Linked DNA regions of Ovis aries. The protein of the gene in region 2 interacts with the protein of the main gene of each other region in a pairwise test. Links are inferred from orthologs where the notes say so. Each region holds a gene or a part of one and is shown on either strand. Other genes may lie near its edges. The genes, in order: TRIM42, EMD, MEOX2, KASH5, FATE1, ABT1 and TRAF3IP3.

Region 1 (3,500 bases), on a different chromosome or scaffold from region 2:
GGAGAGGACCTTACCTCTAGAATAGGCCACAGAAGGCTGACCTGTATTCAAATTGTTGTCTAACGCCTAAAACCCTGTAAAGACAATGAAGTTGCCATTTCACAGACAGAGGTGGGCCACATGCTCACCCTGCCCTGGCATCCTCCCCACTGCAGTATCATTGGGTTTGTGCATTCCTAGAGCATCAGTGGCCTCTCATACTCATATCTGTATCCCTAGAGCTTAGAAAAGTATATGATGTGGAATAGGTGTCCCATAAATGGTTGTTGAATGGTTGAGAGGACTTAAAATCCAAATGCCATGTCAAGGCTGCAGGATGAACTTGGTTTTCCTTGACTTGTAACAGCAGACCCTTTCTGGAAAGGAAGTGGGAAGTGGGGTAGGCAAGACAGGGAGTCCAGCTGAACCCAAGGGAGTCAAAGCCCCCGGCAAAGGAAAAGGACATGTCAGAGAAGCCACAGTGAAGGGGAACTTTGCTGGTTTGCCACTATTGTCTAGGGCTGGGTTTTGGTGAACGAGACAAAGCAATATTTAGAAGTAGTCATCAGAAATTTATTTCTTCTCCCACCCCTGCAAAAGCTTAGGCTTTCACATAGGGAAAATCCATCACTTTGTGACATCACCTCTTCTCACGTCCAACTTGCTAACAGGTAAAGTTGAGTGAAAACTAATATCAAGGGTGGCCTTGAACTTCCACCTTTAGACCCAAGGCTGTAAGAATTATTAGATAGAAGTATGCCAGGGAAGGCTGGCTGTCATACCTAAAGGAAATATTAGACAAAGAGGAAGAGAAGGGTGTGTGGAGAGGGGCCAGAGTCACTTTACAAACCTATGCTAGCATCTTTAAGCCCAGCAACAAGTGGTTTTCCTCCCTTTCCACCCACTTCTTTGGAGCCCAAGTTAATATGCTCCAGTTTGCCACTGGCTTTGATATCTGGGGAACTGAAAATTTTAACTGAAGTAACTAACTTGATTGTTTTGCAGTCCGCTATGAAATTGATAATGACCTCATGGAATTCAATATTTTAAAAAACAGCTTTAAAGCTGACAAGGAGGTAAAGCGGAAAGAGATCAGAAATGGATTTCTCAAGCTGCGCAGCATTCTCCAGGAGAAAGAGAAAACCATCATGGAGCAGATAGAGAATCTGGAGGTGTCCAGGCAAAAGGAAATTGAAAAGTATGTGTACGTCACTACCATGAAGGTGAACGAAATGGATGGCCTGATTGCCTACTCCAAGGAGGCGCTCAAGGAGACAGGCCAAGTGGCATTCCTGCAGTCAGCCAAGATCCTGGTGGACCAGATCGAGGATGGCATCCAGAGCACTTATAGGCCCGACCCACAGCTCCGGCTACACTCCTTGAACTGCATGCCCTTGGACTTTGCTGAGCTCTCCAGTGCCATTCACGAGCTCTTCCCCACAGGACCCAAGAAGGTGTGTTCCTCTGGGGACTCCCTGCCGTCCTCCTACCCCCTGCAGTCAGAAATGATGATCGCCAGGAAGGTCACTTTCAGCACCCACAGCTTCAATAACCAGCAGATATACCAGCGAAGCTCCTCCTTATTGTCCTTCAATGCCCCTGCCTGTGAGAAAACCAAGATAGGTCTGGAAGCCTATGGGCGAGCCCAGTCAGCTGCACCTGCCAAGCCCACAGACGGCCTCTACACCTACTGGAGCACCGGGGTAGAAAACCAGCCTGTGCAGAATAGCAATAGCTTCCACAACTGGTACTCATTCAACGATAGCTCTGTGAAGACTCCAGGCCCAATTGTTATCTACCAGACTCTGGTGTATCCAAGAGCTGCCAAGGTAAGAAAGGCTCTGGGCCCTGTAGGAAAGATGGGAGGGTGTGAGCTATGGCATGGAGGTGGGTAGTCGGGAAAGTTTGCACTTAGTTCATTGACCACTAGGATCTGGTCACTCAGATCTGTTCCTCTGGACTCTGTGTGGTTGGCCCATTCAAAAGGGATAAGTTCCTGAAATCTTAAGAGCCCGAGATTGGCTTAAACCAAACATATATTTAACTCATAGCCAGAAATGCATCTGAAAGCCCCAATTCCACTTCAAAGGCAGCTTCTCTATTGAAAGAGACTGCAATTTTGGAACCAAAGTAATTTGAAGAGACTGCTTGAAGAGAATAATATTTCCCAAAGGAAAGCCTGTAACAGTAGAAAGAGAACAGAAATTGGAATTAGAAAAGCAGCCTCCGTGATCTATCAGCTGTGATTCCTCTAAATTGCTACTTTTTCTAAAGAAAATATCTAGACTCTTCATGATTTGGAAAGATTAGAAGGTAATCCCCAGTGGAATTCCAGTTCTTATCTCCTGAGATTCAGCTTTTAGTGAGGGGAGGGTATGTATCTCTCACAGACCTCTACAACTGCCATCACTCAGCGTCAAGGGATATGACTCTTCCTTGACCTTCTTGGCCTAACATGAACAGAACAAATAGCCCATCTCTTAACATTCCTTTCAAATCTAGCTGATTGAATCTAAATTGAATAGTTTATATAATGTTCTATTAGCATCCAGGAAGGAAAAAAATGTATTCTATGAGAGCATATCTTGCCTCCTCTTGGGACCACTAGAGGGACAATTCCCAAGCCAACCCATGACTTGCTTCCATGTAGCAGAATCCACCTTCTGTCCTCATGATCTGAGCACTCACAAAGACACTTAACGTCCTTGAAGCCTAAACTAGTGGTTCTCAAACCTTAACGTGCACCCGGGAATCTTGTTAAATACAGAGTCTGCTTCAGTGGGTCTCAGCGGGGCCTGAGATTCTGCACTTCTAACAGACTTCCAGATGTTGGCATTGCTGCCAATTAGCAGACCACACTTCAGTATCAAAGGATCTAGAAACAAGAAAATTAAAGGGAGACACTGACCAAGCCTTACCTTTTTATTCTCCTGAAACATCTTAATCTATGTTTTGGCATTTATAATTGACTCCAAGAATGACCTTATGTTGCAAGGTAGAACATACAGAACCTATCCTCCCATGGGCTGTCAGACACAGCAAATGTATCTCTGCCCTTCACATAGCAGGTACCCACAACTAAGCAGCTGAAGCTGCACTTCCAAGTGATGCTAGATCAGCAACACCTGCAATGTACGTGACACTGCATCAGGGACTGCATTAGTTCTCATCTCCATGCAACTCAGACCACTTGAGAGGTTGGCAAGATCTAGCTTCTGAATGGGAGAAGACAATGGCACCCCACTCCAGTACTCTTGCCTGGAAAATCCCATGGATGGAGGAGCCTGGTGGGCTGCAGTCCATGGGGTTACTAGGAGTCGGACATGACTGAGCGACTTCCCTTTCACTTTTCACTTTCATGCATCAGAGAAGGAAATGGCAACCCACTCCAGTGTTCTTGCCTGGAGAATCCCAGGAATGGTGGAGCCTGATGGGCTGCCGTCTATGGGGTCGCACGGAGTCGGACACGACTGAAGCGACTTAGTAGTAGTAGTAGTAGTAGCTCTGGATGGGAACGACTG
Region 2 (4,280 bases):
AAAACCTTGTGGTAATACCCAGGTGAGGAACTGGTTTACTAAAAGGAGATGAAACATTCCAGAGGACTGAGAGCCTTCCCCTGTCATTAGACAACCAGCCTTCCAGCAGCCCATCAAGCAGATGCCTCATTTCCTTCCCATCACTCTGCCCTTGGACACCACAGTTGGTGTCTGCTGGTCCCAGTTGAAACACCCAGAACTGACACGGTGCAAGCAGCCTCACCTGCGTTTCCCAGTGGGCTCTCTGTGTGACTATTTTTTATAAGCACTTACAAGAGCTTCTGGTAACATGTCAGGGAGCGGGCACCAAAAGCAAAACATAAATGAGTTTATGGGTTGCCTATGATCCCTATCTCAGGCTCAAAGGACGAAAGGATGAACTGACAAAGTTGGATGGCAATTCTGGAGACCCAAGGCCTGGAAGCCTTTAGCAGGGGGGCAGCCCAACCCCTCCCCATGTTAAAGAAAAGAACCCACACATTAAAAATAAATGGTCTTTTATTGTGTCCACGAAAACAAACTCAGGGTGGCCTTTGGTTAATCCCCCCATGAGGTGACGACAAATAGGAGGCATGCGATGACCAAAACCATGTTCTCCTCTCCAGGAGAAGGGTCTTGCCCTCCTAGGCCCGAAGGGTGACAGGCAAGCAGGGCCAGGAGGATCCAGAGGCAGGCCCACCCAGGTCCACCATGCCGCAGAGGGCCCAGGCCTGCTGCCTCCCTGGCAGGACAGGGCAGGGGTCAGCAAACATTGCCCATGTCCTGGTAACCCCAAGCTAGAACACACAGAAAAGCCCCAACCCCCCTCCCCCAACAAACACTGATAAGGCAGTCAGCCAGGGCTTCCAAGAGGAGCCGGCCTCCAAGGTACGAGGTCAGACCCTTAGGGCTCTGCCCAGAAAGGGTTGCCATCCTCGGCCTGCATGGAGTAGTAAACAAAGAGCAGGAAGGCAGCAAAGACCAGGAACAGCAGCACCTGGCCCCAGAGCGGGACCTGGCGATCCTGGCTCAGGCCGGCAGCCCCAGGGGCCTGCTTTTCAGGCCGGATGGCTCTGCGGGTGAGCCACGAAGGGGCCGAAGATGAAGATGAGGACACACTCGAGGTGGAGGAGGATGTGGGATAATAGGACAGGCCCAGGGAGCTTCTGGAGATGTTGGAAATAGGGCGGTAGTGTGCAATGTTCTGGTAGGCACTGTCCCGGCCATACAGGAGGCGTTCCCTGAGGCAAAGAGTGCAGTAGGTAGACCAGGAGGGCTTGAGTCCTGAATCAGCCCCAGCCCCTGGCTCGCCTTAATACTCACCGATCCTTGCCTTCCTCTTCCAAAGAGAAAAGATTGTCATCACGGACCTACAGAAGTGAATCAGAATGAGAATACCTATTGACAGGGTCGGTGTAGGTATGACAGGTCATACCCTCAGTCCAAACTGCCCTTCCCAGCCTGTTCTGAACACTGATTAAAGGCCTGGGCCCTGCCACCCTCCAGACCCCCTTCTTGGTCCTCAGCCTTATGTCTGCAGGGCCGTGCCACTTGTCCCGGCTGCCTGCATCCTACTTTCTGCCCCAGAATTCTCAAAAAGAGCTCAAACCTAGATCCCAGACCAGAGCCAGGGCACGTCCTGGGCACACTAGTCAAAACAGTTCTGACAGCCCCTTCCCCCACCCCAAAGGTCTTGACCAGGCAGGTGTCTGCAGGCCCCACCTCTCCCTGGAGGTTTCTGAGCCACCATTTGTGCCCAGTGGTTCCCTTGACTCATCCAAACCCCATGAGGACCCCCTCAGGTTGTACCCAAGTACAGGGTGCCCGACAACTCAGCTCACCTGGCGGTGAAAGGGGTCAGCATCTGAGAGTGAAGCTGAGGGCTGGCGGAAGCCCTTGGATGTGCCCATAGACTCAGGCTCCCCGTAAGTCCTGGTGGTCAAGTAACTCTCCTCATAGTAGTCATCATTATAGCCTTAGGAAGGGGGGGGCAGCGGTAGCAGAAGGGGCAACGGTGTCCCCACCTGGCCCGATGGCCCTAATCTGAATCCCATTGGGGGGGGGGGTGCTGCAGGGCTACTGCAGGACGCATGGGGTTGAGGTCTCAGGTTCTGGCTGACACTGGAAGGAAGGTGTCAGAGTGCCCACCCCACCCCTGCCTTACCCTTGCTCTGGTAAAGTAAGGCGTCCTCTTTCTTGGGCAGATCATACATATCCGAGTCCACGGACGCCGAATCTAAGTCTGAATGGGGGAGGGGCTAGGACCATTGGCCCACAGGGGTCCCCTCCCGTTTCCCCCGCGCCCCTTCCAGCCAGTGCCCTGGCCACACCCCCGCGACCCCTTCCTCAGCGTCCCCCAAACCGTGTCCCCAAGGGCGGCCAGGCGGGGCCCTGGGACGGGAGCCTCACCCGAGAACCGATAGGAGAAAGAGGATGCGGACGAGCTCGGGGGCGAGAGCCTCCGCCTCTGGGTCTCATACTCGAAGATTTTCTTTTCGTAGAGCTTGCGAGTGGAACCTGATCAGACGCGGGGCACAGGGCGGTCAGGGAGCGGGCCGAGAGGGGGCCGCGGGGCTAAGCGCGGGGAGCGGGCCCGCCCTCCGTCCACCGCGTACCGACGACGGGCCCGTGTGGGATGTTGTACTGGCGCAGCACGGCGGCCAGCTCGGAGTCCGAGAGGACTGCGTAGTCGTCCATGGCGGGCAGCGGGCGGCGGAGGCCTGGGGGAGGCCTGGGCCTTGCAACACCGGCCGAGAGACGATGGCCTCGGAGCGCGGCAGGGGAAACAGGAGTGCCTCGGGAGCGGCTACGCGCGCGTCACGCCCGCGTCACAGTCTCGGTCTCCGCGGGCAGCGCGCGCTGTGCGGAGCGGGGCCGGGCCTCGCAGAGAGCTGCCAGCGCAGATTGGTGGAGCCTCGCGAATGGGCGGGGAGGGGCGGGGCTCCCGAGCCCAGAGACGTCACACGCTGGCGCATTTAGGGCTGGACCCCAGCGAGGGGGCGGGGCCTGGGCGCGACGGGAACTAGCTTAGACCCGCCCCGGCTTGGGAGCGGGGCGGGGCCCGCGAGCCGCGACGTCACCCGCTCGGCTATTTGGGTCAGAAGGGTGGAGGGGCGGGGCCTGTGGCCATGCAACCGGCAGAAACTGGGCAGGATGCGGGAGCTGGGCGGGGCTGCGCGCTGGGCGGGGCTCGCCCTCCCTGAGTCACGTGGAGTCCGCTCGGTCTCAACTGCCCCTCTGCTCCAGCAATTGCGGGTCCCTGGCCGCGCCCCAGGCGGGCGCGTCGCCGGCGGCTGCGAGAAGGGGCCTGATCCGAAGGGGCAAGCCCTTGGAGAGCACGGGTCCAGACTAGGCGCTGCTGCACGCGCAGTGCGCGCGCGCGCCACACCAAGGAAGCCTGTAGCCACCTGACCATAAACCGCCCCCCAGAGCCCCAGACCCCCTGCCCCAGCACGCCTTCCCGCTCTGCAGGATCCTGGCCTGCGCCCGCCGGTTCCCACCGCCTCCCTCCCTCCCCTTGCACCCCAGAGGAAATGGGGCACTGGGCCAGGAGGCCACCGGCCCTCCAGGAGCCAGCAGCCTTGGAAGGGGCCCGGGCATGCCAATGGGCACTGGCATGGGGCGCCCTGTGATGCCGAGATGGCGGGTGTCTGCCTCACCCACCGGCAGTGCACCAGAGGCGCGAGGGGCTTCCCCACCGTGGCTGGGATGGCCCCTGAGCCCAGCGTGACCCAGGAGGCTGCCAGAGGGACCTGCCCCAGGCTTCCGATAATGCACTCTGAGCACCTGGGTCTCAGTGGGCTTCAGGGTCGTGGGAGTGCAGAGGGAGCCTCCCAGACAGGGGGGCCAGGGGACTGAGGGGGGCAAACCATGGAAGGCAGCCAGGGCCTGTCACAGGGAGTTGGTGAGAGCCTTGGTCAGGAAGAGCTGTCCCATGAAAATTAGGAAGAAGATGACAGTGACATTCTAACAAAGCCAGCCAATGGAATGAGGGGAAACTTAAGTGCCTCTCCCGGAACTGAGATGAAGGCTGGCAGACTGGCCCAGTTGGTGAGGGTCACAGCCTCGGTCTCAGCAAAAGTTCCTTCATGGGGTGGAGAGAAGATAGGGCCCTGGTTTAACCACATACGAAGCCCCTCCTCAAGGTTGCTGTTGGCCAGGTTTTAGAAATGAGGCTTTCTCCATCTCCCAAAATATGAGGGCCCCACGCATGCATGGTCGGATGAGGGGCAGCGCCCCCAGGCAGGGCAAGGGTCTTGCTGCTTATCTCTGAGCAGGGAGGGAGATGGCATTTGGGCTCT
Region 3 (3,556 bases), on a different chromosome or scaffold from region 2:
GGACCTTTGTTGGCAAAGTAATGTCTCTGCTTTTCAATATGCTATCTAGGTTGGTCTTAACTTTCCTTCCAAGGAGTAATCGTCTTTTAATTTCATGGCTGCAGTCACCATCTGCAGTGATTTTGGAACCCCCCAAAATAAAGTCTGACACTGTTTCTACTGTTTCCCCATCTATTTCCCATGAAGTCATGGGACCAGATGCCATATATTAGGTAACTTCAATTAAGATTTTAGAAGGAAAATATATCTCTACAAAGCTGATGTGATTAACATAATATACAAACTCAGTATTAGCATTTAACAAGTATTAGTGAAAATTTTGGACAGCAAGATCAAACCAGTCAATCCTAAAGGAATTCAACCCTGAATATTCATTGGAAGGCCTGATGCTGAAGCTGAAACTCCAATACTTTGGCCACCTGATGCGAAGAACTGACTCATTGAAAAAAGACCCTGATGCTGGACAAGATTGAGGGCAGGAGGAGAAGGGGACAACAGGATGAGATGGTTGGGGGGAATCATTGACTCAGTGGACATGAGTTTGAGCAAGCTCTGGGAGATGTTGAAGGACAGGGAAGCCTGGTGTGCTGCAGTCCATGTGGTCACAGAGTCAAACACAACTGAGCAATTAAACAACAGTACCAGGGAAAATTTTTGATCTTGTTTTGAGGAAATCAGAACCACATATTTGTAATGTAAAATCAAAGTATTAAGGGAGGAGCAAAAGCATAGTTCAAAAGAAGATGGACTCACTCTGAGGTGAAATGGCCAAATAAAGCTCTGTGAGTGAAGCAGTGGACCGCGGGGGCACAGAATGGCGTGCTAGACGGAGCTTCATCAGTGGCTCCCTGAGTATATTTTAGATTGGTCCAGGGACTGACAGCAGGGGGAGGGGGCAAAGTGGGTGTTGTTTGACCAAAACAATTACTGAATGGTCGTTCTAATGCACAGAAACTCTTCATAAACTAAACACCTTTGAACAGCCTAAAATGATACAGCACTTTCCCCATCTATTCTTTTACATGGTGTGTCATAAAATGGGCTTCCCAGGTGGGCTAGTGGTAAAGACCCTGCCTGCTAGTGCAGGAGATGTAAATGATGGGGTTTTGATCACACACTTCAGTACTCTTGCCTGGAGGATCCCATGGACAGAGGAGCTTGCAGGGCTCCGGTCCTGTGGGTCACACAGAGTTGGACACGACTGAAGCTGCTTTGTTGTTCTTCAGTCACTCAGTCGTGTCCCAATCTTTGCGACCCCATAGACTGCAGCTGGCCAGGCTTCCCTGTCCTTCACCATTTCCCGGAGCTTGCTCAAACTCACATCAATTGAATCAGTGAGGCCATCCAACCATCTTGTCTTCTATTGTTCCCTTCTCCTCCTGCCTTCAGTCTTTCCAAGCATCAGGGTCTTTTGAAGTGACTTAGCAGATGTCATAAAATACAAAATACAGGACTTGGTACCTTCTGAATGTTTTAAAATTATTATGAACATAGGCCTTGATTAAATTCAATGGTGACTTATTTTCATATTCATTACTTCACAGTGTATTTGTAAAAGCTTTTGAAAAGCCTTTTTTTTCCATTTATGACCGAAATGGAAGAAAACATTTTGTCCATTTCCCTTTCTTTCTTTCACTTGTTCCCTTTCTTTGTTAAAGGTGAAAGTGTGGTTCCAGAACAGGCGAATGAAGTGGAAGAGGGTAAAAGGAGGACAGCAAGGCGCTGCCGCTCGAGAAAAGGAACTGGTCAATGTGAAAAAGGGAACACTCCTCCCTTCAGAGCTCTCGGGAATCGGTGCAGCCACCCTCCAGCAAACAGGGGACTCGCTAGCAAACGAAGACAGCCACGATAGTGACCACAGCTCTGAGCATGCACACTTATGATACAGACAGAGGGGACCAGCTCCATTCTCAGGAAAGAAATGTGGTGATGGCAAGCCTTACTCGAACATCGTTTACACAGAGAAAGGACTATGACCTTGATTTTTAATATTATTAAGTTCAGGCATCCCGAGTCTGTTTTTCATGATTTATAGAGGGTTTACACTAAGTGCCACTTAAGAAGGATGCTTCCACAGAGAAGATGGAGGTGAATATTCCAGAGGTGTTGGTCGTGTGTATGACAGTGAGCAGCCTTTGTGTTTGCTTTTGCTTGCACTGAAAATTAAATTGCTATCAAGAGCAAACTATGAAGCATTTGTATTGAAGGTGCCTCCAGAGTGAAGATGCAGAAGATGAATTGGCTTTGAACATTGCAGATGTCCGAGGTCATGGGTGTGACAGTGGGCAGGTATTTGCTCTCGCTTGCACTGACAATTACATTACTATTCAAGAATAAACCATGAACCATTTTTATCTCAAACAGCCACAGTGCCTGAAATCATTCTTAAGTGGGTTAAAAAAATGTATTTTAACTCTGTATATATTACCCTTAAGTCATTTTCCTGTCTTCACTACGTTTAGCAATGCATTCATATTAGCTGATAAAAATAGCCACTCACGATGACAAACAGAACCAGCTTCTTGTATTTTTATACATTTTGTCATCCCAGAAACAATCAGCACATGCTTACTTGTGTTCAAGTAGAGAAAAATACATTAGAGTCTGATAGGGAATATTCTTGTACCACAGACAAAACAAATCTTATGTTGCATTTTCTATCAACTGCTGCTAATACATTATTATAAAACTTACCTAGCTCCTCAATTCTTCCTATCTATAGCTTGGAAAAAAAAATTTAGGATCATAGGCAAATCAGTTACTTGCAGAAAGAGCTTTTGTATGACAGACATTGTCTGATTTTATTTCTATAAAATGTTACCTGTTGTGAATATGATTTAATTAACAAGAAAAAGGGTTTTCCCCCGATTGGTGATAATAGACAACTTGCAAAACAAAATTGATTCCTCAAGTCTGTAGAAGGTAAAATTCTGAATGTCTTCAAATTAAGTTCAGTAAAAACACATTTTTTTCATATATGATGTATTCATGCCGAACAACAATTTTTGTATTTTGTAAAAAAAAAAAATGTTAAATAAATGATCCTTTGTAAATAATCTTGGTCTTCCTACTGTGATTTCCTGTGTTTACAAGCGTTAATGTAAATACTTAAGAAAATCCCCAATTCATGTGCACTTGTGTAAAAGCAGATGATCATAATTAGTGAATCATCTACATTTTTATTTCTGAAATTTTTTATTATGAAAAAATCCTTGTGTAATAAAAAAGCATCTGAGAATAAGCATATGGTAAGCCCATTTCCCTGAATTGAAGAGTATGCCAAATAGATTTGTGTTTTATGAAATAAAAGGAGAAAAGTAATATTATTCACCACAATGAGAGAAACCAGTCATATATTTTTAAGCTTATGTATAATGGACATGAATTCATCCAATGATTGTTTTTACACAAAAATACCCAGAGTTTTTCATGTGAAAATAAGCTCCATAACCTAATCCGAATTCTCAGCCCTAGAGGAAATTACCAATGTAAGAAGTCCAGGGCTATACTGACTTAATGTGCTTGGTATCATGCGGATTGTGCATACATTGGATAC
Region 4 (3,500 bases), on a different chromosome or scaffold from region 2:
GATATGAGGGTGCCTGGGGGTCCGTGGGGCAGCACCGGGAAGGGTTTGGTGCCTGGACCAAGGACTGGGACAGGGATGAGGTTAAGAACCGAGGTGGTCCTGGGAGGACTGGAGTGGGGTGAGAGTCAGGGCGGGGTCAGAGTTGCCGCTGGCGGTGGCTTAGGGTGTTCTGGGGGTGTCAGGCCCACCTGCTGAATGGCCTGGATCTCCACACCCAGCGACGGCGGCAGCAGGTTGGTGCAGTCCGCTCTCCTCACCTGGGCCCCTTCGGATAACCTGGCCACACAGTCAGGAGGGGGAAGGCTGCCTCCATGCCCAACCACCTGTCAGCCAGCCTATGCTGAGGCTACTGCCCTGCCCACCTTGGGGCTGGACGCCACGGTGGGGGCTCCCTGTCCTTGGGCTCCCCTCCTGCTTCCTCCTCCCCCGTCGTTCTACTCACTCATCCAGCCCCTCCTGGGTCTGACTCAGCTGCTCCTCCAGGTGGGAGATTTCCAGCCTCAGTTCCTGCAAAGGAAGGATTGAGGGACCCCTGGCTCTGCCTTTTCCCCAGCCCCATGTCTGGGCTCCTCTTCCAAGGCCAGGTCCACTCCTTTGACTTCTTTGGGATCCTCCATACACATACAGACAAGGAGAGAAGGGGAAGAAACAGTAGCAGAAACTTAAGAAGCCAACGAGAGGTAAAGAGCAACAGGAACCCAGAATGTAACCTATCGGTCAGGAAAACTAAGAAAAGGAAAGCAGAGATGGAAACATATGGGAAAATGAGAGACACACATAGGGGACAGGGAGGCCTGGCGTGCTGCGATTCGTGGGGTCGCAAAGAGTCAGACGTGACTGAGCGACTGAACTGAACAGCCCTATCACACACAGATGGGGAGCAAGAGACTGTGAAGACAAGGGACAGAGAGAGGAGTAACCCCAGGAGACAGAGAACTGACCCAGAGAGCGGCAGAGACTGAAACCAGCCAGGCAGGGACACAGAAACAGGGGCAGGGCAGACACTGTGAGAAATCACCCACAGAGAATCAAAGTGGGTGGGAGATGGAGATACAGAGAGAGGAAGGACAGAGGAAAAGTGAAAACGCAGAGAGAGAGGGAGGGGGAGAGACGCACACAGTCAAGCAGCAGTGATGGTAGAAACAAGAGGTGGAGACTCGGAAAAAGATCATCAGACATAGGAGGAGGCAGGACACACCCCAGAGATGGCAAAACAGAAGCAGGGCCTGTGGCCGGGCCAGGGGGTTACCTGGGTTGTGGCTCTGTACTCCTCCAAGGTCTTGGTCAGGCTCTCCGCGTGGCGAGTGCGCTGGGAAAGCCCAAAGCTGATTGAGGCCGGGCTCAACCCACCAAAAACTCTGAGGTCTGGTCGCAGGGGAAGGGGGGTCGGATGGGTGTGATGGGCTGGGGGCAGAGCAAGACCTGAAGAGAGCATCAGCTTCCCTGGAAACCCTCTGACCTCTCTGGGCTGAGTCTCCAAGGATTAGAGTCTAGTATGCGTGCATGGCTAAGTCACTTCAGTCATGTGGACCGTAGCCCGCCAGGCTCCTCTGTCCATGGGATTCTCCAGGCAAGAATACTGGAGTGGGCTACCATGTGCTCCTCTACAGGATCTTCCCAACCCAGGGACTGAACCCGCGTCTCTTACGTCTCCTGTATCGGCAGGCGGGATCTTTACCACTAGTGCCACCTGGGAGGCCCTAGAGCCAAGGAGGATTTTCCTTTGTAGACTTGGGGCAGGAGACACATCGAAGGCACATTTCCCTCCAGCCCACTCACCTCGGAGAGGATGGCGTCTCGCTGGCAAATGAGGTGTTCACACTCGTAGAGCTGCCGCTGCCAAAGAAGGAGCCCGTCCATCTGTCTGGCCTGCCCTCCCCGGCCTATCCCGCTCTCTATAGCTCCTCTCCTCAACCTCCCTTCACATCTCTGGACGTCAGCTACCCCGAGGGGGACTTCAGTGAGTTGCCCACTGGCCCTGGGGACCTCAGAGCTTGAGTCAAACCCCTGATCTCACCAGACCAAAGGGGCTGAAACTGATGAGGCTAAAAACGGGCCTCAGGGAGGTAGGAAATCGTCAAGGCACTAGGGAGGGGTGCCACCTTCAAGATGTCCTTCTCCGAGGCCAGCTCCTCACTCCTCCTCTTCACTCCATCCCGCTCGGCCAGGAGCTTCCCATTCTGGAAGAAGGGACCCTGGTCACGATCACGTCAGCAAATGGCCATGTTAATACTCAGAGAAGACATGTGCTGAGCACCTGATGTGCATCAGGCCTCATGCTGGGCACCCTTTCTCTTTTTCCTGAGCCTTTCAGATGCGGCTTTAATTATCCTTCAATGGCAGCCTTTCTAAGACTTTTTTTTTTCACTTTTTATTTTGTTTTGTATTTAATTGTATAGCCAATTAACAACACTGGGACAGTTTCAGGTGAACAGTGAAGGTGAACAGCCATATACATGCATCCATTCTCTCCCAAACTCCACTCCCATCCAGGCTGCCACATAACATTGAGCAGGGTCCCATGTGCTATACAGTAGATCCTTGTTGGTTATCCATTTTAAATATAGCAGTGTGTACATATCCATCCCAAACTCCCTAACTATCTCTTCCTCTATCCGTCCCCCTATTCCCCGTGCTCAGCACTTCCTGATGTTTCAGCCCACTTAATCCCTCCAACAATCCTATAGGATCTCAGCTCTGATTTGCAGATGAAAAAATAAAAACGGCTGCAAAAATGGAGCTATGATGGGATGCATGTGAGGATTAAATGAACTAATAATTACTGCTAACATTTACGGGGCACCTTGCCAGTGTTAACTTACTTCTGTGCCCTCTTTTAAAGATAAAGATGGGAGTTCCCTGGTGGTCTAGTGGTTAGGATTTGGTGCTTCCACTACAGTGGCTTGGGTTCCTGGTACAGGAACTGAGATCCTGCAAGCTGCGAGGTGTGGCCAAAATAGATAAAATAAGATAAAAATAACTGACTCACAGAAAGACTGAGCAACTTTGCCCAGGGTATATAGATGGGAATTCATGCAAATACATGTTTAATATGTTAATGAATACAAACACATTTAGAACAATGCCTGGCATATACCAAAATTTGGTGTTATATCAAAAAGATATTTCTAACACTTTGTATTACGAATTTTTAACCCACAAAAGTAAAGCTAATGGTGTGGTGAACCCAGAAATTCCCCAGTGGTCCAGTGGTTAAGACTGCACTTTCACTGCAAAGGCCTGGGGTTCAGCCCCTGGTTAGGGAACTAAGATCCCACAAGCTGCTCGACTCAGCCAAAAAAAATCATGAACCCCCATTATTTGTCACCCAGTTTCAGTAATTACATACATTCTTCCTGTTTGTTTCTTCTCTATGCACAGAGTTTGCTTTGCTTAACCAGATTATTTTAAAGCAAACCCCAGGCTTATTATTTCACCTGTAACTGCTCCAGCATTTGTATTTGCTACCTGAAGACTTTTCCTTTAGAAAGGACCACAAT
Region 5 (4,148 bases), about 3.9 Mb from region 2:
TTCCTCCCTTCCTCTCCTCCCCCTCCCCCTGTCCTCCTCTCCCTCCCACCTGGCCCCAATTGTGCTTGGTTTCTTTACAAATAGCCTCCTCTTCCTCAGGAGCTCTGAGGCTATTCCCAAGAGCTGAGGGTTCACCTTCGGTGGCTGTATGAGTCAGAGTTCTCCAGAGAAATGGAACCAATAGGAGGTATGTATGTGTATGTATATGTATTGTTGCACTCACTCACTGAGTCATATCTGACTCTTTGCAACCCCATGGACTGTAGCCCACCAGGCTCCTCTGGCCATGGGATTTCCCAGACAAGAATACTGGAGTGGGTTGCCATTCCATTCTCCAAGGGATCTTCTCAACCCAGGGATCAAATCTGGGTTTCCTGAACTGGCAGGTGGATTTTTTTTTACCACTGACTCACTATGCATATATGTGTGTGTAAAGAAAATTTTATTTAAAGAATTTGGCTCATGCCATCATAGAGCTAGCAAGGCCAAAATTTGCAGGACAAGTCAGCAGGTTGGAATGTTAGGGAGGGGTTGAGGTGTAGTCTTGAGCAGAATTTCTTCTCTGGGAAACCTCAGTCTTTGTTCTTAAGGCCTACAGCTGATTGAATGAGGCCCATTCACAGTATCAAGGATACACAATGTCCTTTACTTAAAGTCCACTGATTATAGACATCAACAGCTACAAAAAGTGCCTTGATAGAAACATCTAGACCAGCACGTGATGGAATAACTGGAGACCTTAGGCTAGCCACATGGACCATAAACATGACCACTGAGGTCTATTCAGTAGGGAAGCTGAGGGAAAATTTGACTTAGAATAGGGGGTGCAGGGCTGGGGACACTGGAGGCTCCAGTAAGCAGGCCCCTCTTCTGCACATCTCTCCTTTGGTTTTCATGGTTCCTGTCCAGGATGATCCAGGGTGTCAAAAGTCATGTCCCTTGCCTGGGAATTCTGGATGGGGTAAGGCAGGATGTGCTCTGTAGAGGATGCTTTCTGAAGGGGGCTATGGCCTGGACTGTTAACCAAAGCTGGCCTTGCAGAAACCACGGTGGGATCTAAACCTGCTTTGGCCACTGACCAACTCTGGAGTCCTGTGCCAGCCCCTCCCTCTATCTAGAAATGAGGTCAAATCGGATGAGCTGAGAGCCAGGGCAGCTTTCCCAGGCAAAGATTCAGAGTCTATCGCTTCTCCTAAGTTGCTTACAGAGTAGCAGAGAAGAAGACCTTGAACCCAGCCAGCAAGATACAGCAGGAACAGGAGGTGCTGGGTCTAATGCTTGAACTCAAAGTGGGAGTCTGGCTCCACCCCTGTGTCCAGATATATCTTCCGCAGAGAGCTGATTTCCCAAGCCTCCTCCGAGCCTTGGACCCTGTGCCTTCTTGGCCATTGCTTACAATTGGTGGTGATGGCAGGAGGAGCAGTCCCTAACCTCAAGGAAAAGATGCAAGTGCCAAAGGATGAAGACCTGCTTCTTGGAAGCTTTAGGGATAACCAAGAGCGCTCAGTGGCAGCAGGTGAGGATCCCCCGTAATGTCCCTTCCCTTGGGTATCTACACCTGTGCATGCATGTTAGAAAATGCGCAGGTTTGGCTTGGCAGAAGCATGAATGTGTGTTTGCATGTATTTGTGGGTACCTGTGTGTGAGGTAATGGGATTGATAAAAGTGAGCCTTTTGTAGCGTGTGACGGGGAAGGTTGGATGAACACCCCTCCCATTGCAAGCCACCAGTGGATCTTAATGCAAAACACTCAGTGGGTTCAATTTATAAGATCATTCAAAGCAATTCTCTCTCCTAACCTTCCAGTACCTTCTTCTGCCCTTTAGAGTAAAGCTCCTTTCCATGATCTACAAGATCCACATAAGGTCACCTCCTCAATATACTTCCTGCTGTGGCATGCTGACTCAGTCCACAGTGCCTTTAAGCCTGTCCTGTAACATCCCAAGACTCTTTCTTCTTCACAGCCTTTTCACTATGTGTTCCCTCTTTCCTCAGATTTTCTATGGCTGGACTCTTTCTCTTTCAGGTCTCTGCCTCAGTGTTGTCTCTGACTTTTCTAGAAGTATCCCCTTCCTTCTGTCTTGTTATCCTGTTTTTATTGTTTTGGGAGCATGCATCTCTTGATTTGCACTGATGGATTATTTCCTATAACCCCCACTCTCGTTACCACTTTCTCTGTACACACACAAACAATCAATTTTTTATTGCTGTGATCTTATTTCTTGGCCATTGCTTGCTCTTTAAGAACCTAGCCCAGAGCTTGACACTCAGTAAACACTTACTATATTTTGAGTACATGAAGAAATTGAGACCTGAGATTAGCCAGTAGATGCCAGAGAATGGGTGTTGAGTGCTTCCTAAGATGTTGGGGGACCCTATCCTATTTTTTGGTGTGTTCTGTGCCCATGAAACCTTGGGATAGCCTCTATGGGTATTCCTTGGGCCTCTGTTCTTCTCCCTAGAAATGAAGGAGCATATATCTCGGTTGCTGGGTGCTTCTCAGCGGCGACAGAAGGTGGATCCAAAGGCTGTTGGCTCTGCTGCGGTTTGGAATATGGCTGCAAACCAGTCCAAGAAGGTGGTACTGTATGGCATTTGGTGGCTAGCTTGAGTTTGGGGGAGTTTGCTACAGTTGTAGCAGCTCTGGTATGGAGATGGTAGGTCAAGCAGGGCAGATGTTGACTTTGGGGGAAGGACAAAGCTCCTGTGTTCTGGGCAGGCAAATGAGGGCAACAAGGTCTGGCAAGAGATCATGGCCATTCTTTGTTAGTTCAACCTTGAGGGTCCAGAATGTCTGAAACACACATTGCTTGTGGAGTACATATCTACTTTCTTTTATTAATAAATTAGTAAATATATCTATATTTGAATCTCTATATGTATATATGTATATATCTATATGTTATGTCTACTCTCTATATATATTTCTATATAGAAATATGCAAAAGTATAAAAATCATTATATATATATATATATATATATATATATATATATATATATATAGTTGCTGTTTAGTCTCTAAGTTATGTCTGACTTTTTGAATCCCCATGGACTGCAGCATGCCAGGCTTCCCTCTCCTCCACTATCTCCCAGAATTTGCTCTAATAAATGTCAATTGAGTCAGTGATGCTATCTAACCATCTAATCCTCTGCTGCCCCCTTCTCCTTTTCCGTTTAATCTTTCCCAACATCAGGGTCTTTTCCAGTGAGTTGGCTCTTTGCATCAGATGGCCAAAGTACTGTAGCTTCAGCAACCATCCTTCCAATGAATATACAGGGTTGTATATATATCTCTAAGCATATATAAATATAGATATACATGTATCTATATCTATCTTAGGGCTGGGACTAGGGTAAGGCAAGTGAAATGCCTATGCTCTCTGGCTACTAGGAAATCCAGTCAATTGAATCTGAGCATTTTGTAGCCAATCCTTTAAGTTACATTCTATATGAGTGAGGGAATGTTCTAGAAAAAATGGTGGCTATACTGTTGCAAAAGATACTGAGAAAAGGCAGTCATTTTGGAGAAGAGAAAGTCCTGACTCTTCTTGGGAATCACATGAATCCCATCATCCTTCTGTAGCCAATTCTTTTAACTACATTCATCTTGGGTGACAGAAAATTTTAGAAACATAGTTGTTAAACCACTGCACGTTTACTGGGAAAGGGCAACACCTTTGGAGAGGAGGGAGACCTGAGTGTTCCAGGCAATCATGTGAGTCTCATGTTTTGTAGCCCATCTGATAAGTAAGCTACTTTTGCTGCAGATGCTGGCAATTTTAGAAACATGGTTGTTTTACTGTTGCAAAGGTTATAGGAGGTAGAGGGAAGGCAAATTGACTGGAGAGGCAGGAAGACCTGATGTTCTAGAAAATCAGCCGAGTTACATTTTGTTCCTCTGTAATGAATTTTTAAAATTATACTAACCATATGAGGGAATGTTGTAGAGAAAATGGTGGCCATGTTGTTGCATTCAGTTCAGTTCAGTTCAGTCGCTCAGTCGTGTCCGACTCTTTGTGACCCCATGAACCACAGCACGCCAGGCCTCCCTGTCCATCACCAACTCCTGAAGGTTACCCAAACTCATGTCCATTGAGTCAGTGATGCCATCCAACCATCCCATCCTCTATTGTCCCCTTCTCCTCCT
Region 6 (3,500 bases), on a different chromosome or scaffold from region 2:
CCGCGGAGCCGGGGCCTCTGGAAGGGAGTGACCAGAAACTGGAGGCAGAGGAGGAACAGGAGGAATCTGAAGAGGCGGCTGGTGGCAGCAAGAAACGGGTAGTGCCGGGCATTGTGTACCTGGGCCACATCCCGCCCCGCTTTAGGCCTTTACACGTACGGAACCTTCTCAGCGCCTACGGGGAGGTCGGGCGTGTTTTTTTCCAGGCTGAGGGTAAGTGCTCAGGCCTTGATGGTGAGGGAAGAGGGGTGGTACTCGTTGGCACTGAATACACAGTGCGTGTTTTGTTGCCTCAGCTGAGCTTGGAGGCGCTGACGGAGCCGGGGACCTGTGTCTGTTTTCTTTGGTAAGTAGGTGACGCGCACGTTTCTTAGAAGGCTGAAACGGAGTGTGGGTAGCTTTGTATATCTAGCTGAGCCTAAATTCTTCGCTAATTTTTGGATTCTAATCTCGGCTCCTCCCACCCTACTTTCTTGAGGCGAATTTACAAGTTTGTTAAATGAGTACTGCCTGAATTAAAATCTCAGTGACTTTTCCACAAAACTGAACGTATCTCTGTCATGTCGAGGCCCAGGTCCAGAGACAGTATATAATAGGCCCCGCCCAACTCCCATTCAGTCAGTCACTAATTGGGGTTGGGGGCCTGTGCAGGTTTTGAATAGAACGATTAGGGCAGATGTAATGATAAAAGAATTAACATTTGAGGAAAAGGTTGAGTTTAGTTGAGGGGTAAAGTGTGGACTATGCAGTTAGCCACCTCTGGGTAAAGACAAGGTGGGATCCTGGCCTGCAGGGAGGTCTGGAGAATTGGTGAGTGGGAGGTGCTGTTGAGTGGATGCTGTATGGGCCTCTTTGACCACTACTTTGTCTTGAACTCCAGACGGGTTCGTGAGGCGCAAGAAGAAGGCAGCAGCTGCCTCCACCGCCGGAGGGAAAAAGCGGTCCAAGTACAGCAAGGACTACACGGAGGGCTGGGTGGAGTTCCGGGACAAGCGAGTAGCCAAGCGTGTGGCGGCCAGTCTTCACAACACACCCATGGGCTCTCGCAGGCGCAGCCCCTTCCGTTATGACCTGTGGAACCTCAAGGTGAGGAGATTGGCTTGTCTGCCGCACCATGCACCGTCTCGCCTTCGTGGCCACAGCCCAGGCACCCCTGTCATCTTTTTGGCGCCCATCCCTTCCATCAACTCCCCATCTCTGATCTGCCCTACTCAGATCTTTTCTTGTTTTCCTGTCCACAGTACCTGCACCGTTTTACCTGGTCTCACCTCAGCGAGCATCTTGCTTTTGAGCGCCAGGTGCGCAGGCAGCGTCTGAGGGCTGAGGTTGCCCAGGCCAAGCGTGAGACTGACTTCTATCTTCGAAGTGTGGAGCGCGGACAGCGTTTTCTTGCGGCTGATGGGGACTCTACCCGCCCGAATGGTTCCTGGGCCTTTGCCCAGCGTCCTACTGAGCAGGAGCTAAGGGCCCGGAAGGCAGCTCGGCCAGGGGGACGTGAACGAGCTCGCCTGGCTAACGCTCAGGACCAGGCCCGCTCCAACCGAGGGCTTCTTGCCAAGATCTTTGGAGCCCCTACACCCTCAGAGAACAGGGGGGACTCCTCACCGGTCAGGAACTCTTGAGGGTCAGAGAGGCCCCTTCCACCTCCTAGCCCAGCCCAGCGTCCCTTCTACCTTATAATGACTACCCAGGCGGACATTCTATTGTGTTTCTCAAACCAGGAGTCTGGTGAGTTCCTCAAAAGTTTTGTAACAAGGCCTCTCGTCTTCCTCCTCCCAGCTCCTGTACATGCCTGGCTGAGGCACTTAGTTCTTACTAGCATAATTATGCTAGTCTGCTCATGTCTGTTTTACCTTGTTCAGTTCTTGGCTTCCTGCCTTCTGCGCCCTGGGACCCTTTAAAAGTCCTTCTTTCTGGCCCTAGGAACGGCCTTTACCTTGAATTAGAGTGATAATGGCTAGTCCAGACAGCTGTTTACCAACCACATTATTGGGCAGCAGCAACATCCTTTTTATTTAGAAAAGATTAATAGGGACAGGGGTTAATGGGCTAGAGTGGCTTGGGAGTCACCTTCAAAATATATTTATAGAATAGAAAAAGATATATGTAAATATATATTTTTAAACATGCCTTTGTAGTTTATGGCGTGGGGGGGTGGAGATGGTCATTGGATAAGTTCCAACTTCTGTGTGTTGGACAGAATTCACCCACCTTTGATCCGTCTCCTGGACACAGGATACCTCCCTCTGTTTTAACCTGGATAGTTTTCCATCTAATCAGTTTCTTAGGCCATGCTGTTAACACTTATTTAATTCAACATTTACTAAGTCACTATATGAGGACACATGGCCCTTGGTGTAAGTCTTATAGACTGCTAAAAAAGACAGATGTTTAAGAAATAAATGTATAGAAGTACTATGGGCATCATGCCAGATGTATATAAGAGGTAGAGTGAAGCCATGGGAAGGCCTGATTGATTCTATCCGGGAAAGTAAGTAACATCCTAAGAAGTGAACCAAAGTCTGAAAGAGCCTGATATACTCCTGTAATTGCAAACAAAACTCCATAGATGACGTGTTGGGTTCAGACCGTTGTAAAGGTGGGCAAAGCTTAGGAGGTAGTTGTGCACACATGATGTCCTTCTGGTGCATTTATACATTTTATCTACGCTTAGACAAGGGAATGTTCACAACATACAAAGCAGCTCTGAAGGTGATAGAATGCGTGTAAGCCACTGAGGGGAACTGAAAACTGAGATGTCAACAAAAAACTGAAAAAATCTACACACAGCCTCATAATAGAGTAAAACTCTGGCTTTTAAACTTACAGGAAGTGTTAGAGCAATAATAGTAAGTCATTTGAGTTTCGCTTGCACCCTTTATTGTCTTAAGTTCTTTTTGTTCTTTCTGCTTAACTGTCATCAATATAATTATCATTGTGTTCTTTGGGTCAAGTGGATTCACCTACTTTGGCTCTAAATAACCAAGTTTTGTTAAGATCTCAATTTGATAAGTGAAGTTTATTTGGGAGGAGAGAAATGAATTATGATCTGTTGGGTGTAACATTTTTCACAATCCTCAAAACTCAGCACACAAAAACATCTGTGTTCATTTCATGTGGGCCTATTCCATGTGGACTCTTCATGATGTCTTCCACGTGAATCATGAAGATCCAGTTTCAGACTCTGACAAGCTGTCATATTCATTTATTCAAAGTTCTGAGTATCTGTTGTCGTTTCTCATACATAGAGAATACCAAGATGAAGAAACTTAAGTTACTAACAGTAAAACACATGTAGGGCTTAATTTTTTGAATGAATGAACTTGTGTTTCCAGATTGATGTTATATATAGGATATTCAAAGTCACCGTTTCAGTCTCAAGTTTAAACAGTTCTGCATGTAGAGCTCACACCTATGGGTGGGTAAGTCACAAGTGGAGTGAAAAGATGAAAATAATGAGTGGAAGGAAATGAATTTCCCAGTAACTATAATTGTGATTC
Region 7 (3,267 bases), on a different chromosome or scaffold from region 2:
GTTCTCTTCCTCAAATCACCTACAAGGAAACTCTCACGAAGTCCGTTTCCTTTTCAGCCTTAATTCTTTGTGAAAAATGAGCCTACCCACTCCGCCTTGAAAAAATCGATAGCGTGAGAATGAGAAGTAAAGACAAAGTGAAGTTGTCTAGAAAAGCGATGATTCGGTATTCCTGAATGTGGGCATTTATCCAAAGGAATCCCTTGTGAATATCAAAAATCTCATCCCTTATTGGTTGTTAAGCATGAGGAATAGAGCACACTGAAGAATTTTAAAACTCTTCCTATTTTTTCCACTTCCCTCAGACTCCGTCTCTGTTACTCTACAATCTCCCCAGTTTTCTTCCTCCTTGGGATCTGCCCGCTGCCTCCACCCTAGCTAGCGCTGACCTGCCTGTCTGCCCCTCCTCCTCCCACCAGGGAGCAGACAGCAGAGACTCACAGATGAACCAGGCCCTACGACTTCTGGAGAGTGAGCACCAAGAGCTGCAGGCCAGGATTGAATGCCTGCAGGAGGACAGAGACCTGTGCAGCTCGGACACCCAGCACCTACAAGGTACCCATCCCCCTGGAGGCTTTGGAGGCCTCTGGGGGCCCAGAAGAAGGGGGCTTGGCTGGAAAAGGATCAGTCTTTCATTTGTTTGTTTGGTTGACTTGGTGATTTCATTTTACTCTGAGAAAAAGGCAGGGTTGTTTTAATCATCCAAGACCAAGACAGAAAAGATCCAGCCTATCCGTCTAAGCCAGAGCACAGTTACTCCCATAGCAGTCACGTGCCAAGACGGCATTCCTAATTTAAAGGGAAAGGTCAGCAAAAACACCAAGCATAGAAGTTTCCCAGTCAACGGCCCCTGTCAGCTGAGAGGGGACCAAATTACCCACACATGCTGCTGTGCTGTGCTGGGTTACTCATTCGTATCTGAGTCTTTTGCAACCCCATGGACTATGGCCCACCAGGCTCCTCTGTCCATGGGATTCTCCAGGCAAGAATACTGCAGCAGGGCAGAGGGGCTGGAAAAGAATACTGGAGCAGGTTGCTGTTTCCTACTCCGGTATTGTTCCGAACAATACTAGGAATGTTCCTGACCAGAGATCGAGTTGGCATCTCTTGTATCTCCTGCACTGACAGGCAGATTCTCTACCAATGGGCCACTTAGAAAACCCTATATACACAAACAACCCGTAACTCAGCCCACTGTCAATCCAGATGAAATCCACGGCAGCAGGGTTCTGGTTTACCTCTTCAGAACTGGGACAAGCAGAAGAAAGAGCAACTTCCACTTGACACTGGTCAGAGGCCATGGGCTAAACAGCATCTGTTACTAATTTCCAGCCTCAGGGGTGAGCTCTTTAGGTCTTAGGTTCTTCTATTTTGGTTTGTTTTGTTTGATTCTCAGATCAACTAAAGAGGTCAGAGGAGGAGAAACTCGCCCTGGTGACCAAAGTACAGCAGCTGCAGAGTAAGTCCCTTTCCAGATTCTCAAAGTAGCGCAGGTGGCTTTTTGGCATTCCTGGGGCTCCTGCCCCACAAAAGGCATCCAGAGAAGCGACGGGAAGCCCAGTCCTTGGCATATCCTCTACCTCTGCTTGTCCAGACCCTCTTCCTGGGCAGTGAGGTCACAGACAGTTCTTCCCAAGTTCCACATTAGCCTCTGGCATTTTTCGTTTGTTTCTACTTTTCTCCTCCTTGCCCACAACCACCACCTGCATTTCCCCCAGAATTGCAGATTTCAGAGTTTTCTAAGGTCCTTCTTATTTTATATATTCTAATTTATTATGTACATTTGTCACACAGACCTCTGCCACTGGGAATGGTTCAGAAAATAAGCTCAGTCTGCTTCCCAATTACATGTCGAGGCCAAAGAGGAAAAGGGGTGTTTCCAAAGAAAAGCTGGCAATTTCTGAAAAGCCAGAGAACCTGAAACAATGCACAGCTCTGCTGGTTGCCTCCCACCTTAACCTCTGACACCCCCGACAGAGAAGTTTCATGCAGAGAGCAATGAGTATAAGAAGAGCCAGGCAGCCTCAGGGGTCAGGGAGGGAGGACACCAGCAAAAGCTGGGCTCCCACACAGTCGGGGCTGAATGGGCAAGTCACTTCAAAATCATGCCTTTATTTATTCAGCGCTTATTTACTGAGCCCCTACCAAGTCCCAGGCACAGAGACACACTCTGAGGATACGGTAATGAACAGAACTGGCATGGTTTCCTCCCTAACGAAGCTTACATTCTAAACAAACACTACAGTGCGGTATGGAGTTTCTATGGACAAACAGGTGTCAGGTATTAACAACTGCTATAGAGGAAAACGCACAGCAGGTTAAAGAGAAACAGTTGCTATTTCACACAGGGTCAACTGGGAATGTCCTTCTTCTACGGTAACATTTACACAGAGATTTAAAGGTACATGGTAGGAAGAGATATAAGGAGGGTGTGTTCGTAACAAAGCACCACAAGCTGGGTGACTTAAAGAACAGACATTGGTTTTCTCATAGCTCCAGAGGCTGGAAGTCTCAGATCAAGGAAGCGGGCAGGGTTGGTTTCTTCTGAGGGCTCTGGGGGAAGGATCCATTCTAGACTGCTTTCCTTGGCTTGGAGAAGGAAATGGCCTTCTTCTCCATCCAAGAAGATGGAAATGGACACCTTCTCCATCTCTTCACGTCTTCCATCCATCCGCATCTGTGTCCAAATTTCCCCTTCTTGTAAGGACACTAGTCAATATTAAAATAGGACTCTAATGTCCTATTTTAACTTGATTAAAAGAACCTATCTCCAAATAGGGTCACATTCTGAAGTACTGGAAATCAGGGTTTCAACATAAGAATTTGGGGTGGGGGGGAGTGACACAATTCAACTACAGATGGGAACAGAATAATTAAGGTCTCAGCAAAGTTCTAAGAAGACACTCTGCAGTAAATGCGCTAGCACAGACAAGTTCCTTGTGTTTTCCAACAGGTCTGCTTCAGAATCAATCCTTACAGCTTCAAAAACAGCAGAAACTCTTAATAAAGAAAGGTCAGCAAACTTCTTTCCACAAATTCTAAGATATTGCTCTTTCCTTGCCCTCCTAGAGGCAGAGGGATGGACTATATGACCCTGTGTCGGGGACTCTTAGGTCAGGGAGCTAAAGGAGCACTTTAAGGACTGACTCCTCATTGGCTCTGAGAACACTTTAGCTAGTTAACCTCCTATCCTGAGAGGTATATAAACTATGGAAAGGATTTCTATTCCCTCTGAAAACATACATCTGTACTGAACATTTCAATAAA

What was found.
Region 1: the proteins of EMD (region 2) and TRIM42 interact in binary tests that used the Homo sapiens proteins (3 or more experiments, as listed by UniProt). The two-hybrid records come from large-scale screens. The link is inferred for Ovis aries from reciprocal best matches to the Homo sapiens genes EMD and TRIM42.
Region 3: the proteins of EMD (region 2) and MEOX2 interact in binary tests that used the Homo sapiens proteins (3 or more experiments, as listed by UniProt). The two-hybrid records come from large-scale screens. The link is inferred for Ovis aries from reciprocal best matches to the Homo sapiens genes EMD and MEOX2.
Region 4: the proteins of EMD (region 2) and KASH5 interact in binary tests that used the Homo sapiens proteins (3 or more experiments, as listed by UniProt). The two-hybrid records come from large-scale screens. The link is inferred for Ovis aries from reciprocal best matches to the Homo sapiens genes EMD and KASH5.
Region 5: the proteins of EMD (region 2) and FATE1 interact in binary tests that used the Homo sapiens proteins (3 or more experiments, as listed by UniProt). The two-hybrid records come from large-scale screens. The link is inferred for Ovis aries from reciprocal best matches to the Homo sapiens genes EMD and FATE1.
Region 6: the proteins of EMD (region 2) and ABT1 interact in binary tests that used the Homo sapiens proteins (3 or more experiments, as listed by UniProt). The two-hybrid records come from large-scale screens. The link is inferred for Ovis aries from reciprocal best matches to the Homo sapiens genes EMD and ABT1.
Region 7: the proteins of EMD (region 2) and TRAF3IP3 interact in binary tests that used the Homo sapiens proteins (3 or more experiments, as listed by UniProt). The two-hybrid records come from large-scale screens. The link is inferred for Ovis aries from reciprocal best matches to the Homo sapiens genes EMD and TRAF3IP3.

Annotation. Positions count from the first base shown.
Region 1 is NC_056054.1:248,855,709-248,859,208, reverse strand, and holds part of TRIM42 (tripartite motif-containing protein 42), read left to right. Parts: intron 1-984; coding exon 985-1,808; intron 1,809-3,500.
Region 2 is NC_056080.1:80,070,509-80,074,788, forward strand, and holds EMD (emerin), read right to left. Parts: upstream 2,801-4,280; 5' UTR 2,677-2,800; coding exon 2,595-2,676; intron 2,497-2,594; coding exon 2,389-2,496; intron 2,222-2,388; coding exon 2,144-2,221; intron 1,955-2,143; coding exon 1,821-1,954; intron 1,350-1,820; coding exon 1,303-1,349; intron 1,221-1,302; coding exon 884-1,220; 3' UTR 481-883; downstream 1-480. UniProt on the Homo sapiens protein: Stabilizes and promotes the formation of a nuclear actin cortical network. Stimulates actin polymerization in vitro by binding and stabilizing the pointed end of growing filaments. Inhibits beta-catenin activity by preventing its accumulation in the nucleus.
Region 3 is NC_056057.1:24,985,256-24,988,811, reverse strand, and holds the end of MEOX2 (homeobox protein MOX-2), read left to right. Parts: intron 1-1,658; coding exon 1,659-1,883; 3' UTR 1,884-3,056; downstream 3,057-3,556. UniProt on the Homo sapiens protein: Mesodermal transcription factor that plays a key role in somitogenesis and somitogenesis and limb muscle differentiation. Required during limb development for normal appendicular muscle formation and for the normal regulation of myogenic genes.
Region 4 is NC_056067.1:55,605,061-55,608,560, reverse strand, and holds part of KASH5 (protein KASH5), read right to left. Parts: intron 2,181-3,500; coding exon 2,103-2,180; intron 1,837-2,102; coding exon 1,780-1,836; intron 1,310-1,779; coding exon 1,250-1,309; intron 508-1,249; coding exon 443-507; intron 277-442; coding exon 189-276; intron 1-188. UniProt on the Homo sapiens protein: As a component of the LINC (LInker of Nucleoskeleton and Cytoskeleton) complex, involved in the connection between the nuclear lamina and the cytoskeleton.
Region 5 is NC_056080.1:84,015,895-84,020,042, reverse strand, and holds the start of FATE1 (fetal and adult testis-expressed transcript protein), read left to right. Parts: upstream 1-1,348; 5' UTR 1,349-1,407; coding exon 1,408-1,516; intron 1,517-2,462; coding exon 2,463-2,578; intron 2,579-4,148. UniProt on the Homo sapiens protein: Involved in the regulation of endoplasmic reticulum (ER)-mitochondria coupling. Negatively regulates the ER-mitochondria distance and Ca(2+) transfer from ER to mitochondria possibly implicating it in the regulation of apoptosis.
Region 6 is NC_056073.1:30,516,891-30,520,390, reverse strand, and holds part of ABT1 (activator of basal transcription 1), read left to right. Parts: coding exon 1-213; intron 214-880; coding exon 881-1,086; intron 1,087-1,241; coding exon 1,242-1,622; 3' UTR 1,623-3,500.
Region 7 is NC_056065.1:72,984,267-72,987,533, reverse strand, and holds part of TRAF3IP3 (TRAF3-interacting JNK-activating modulator), read left to right. Parts: intron 1-305; coding exon 306-555; intron 556-1,396; coding exon 1,397-1,459; intron 1,460-1,769; exon of another isoform or gene 1,770-2,953; coding exon 2,954-3,013; exon of another isoform or gene 3,014-3,267. UniProt on the Homo sapiens protein: Adapter protein that plays essential roles in both innate and adaptive immunity. Plays a crucial role in the regulation of thymocyte development.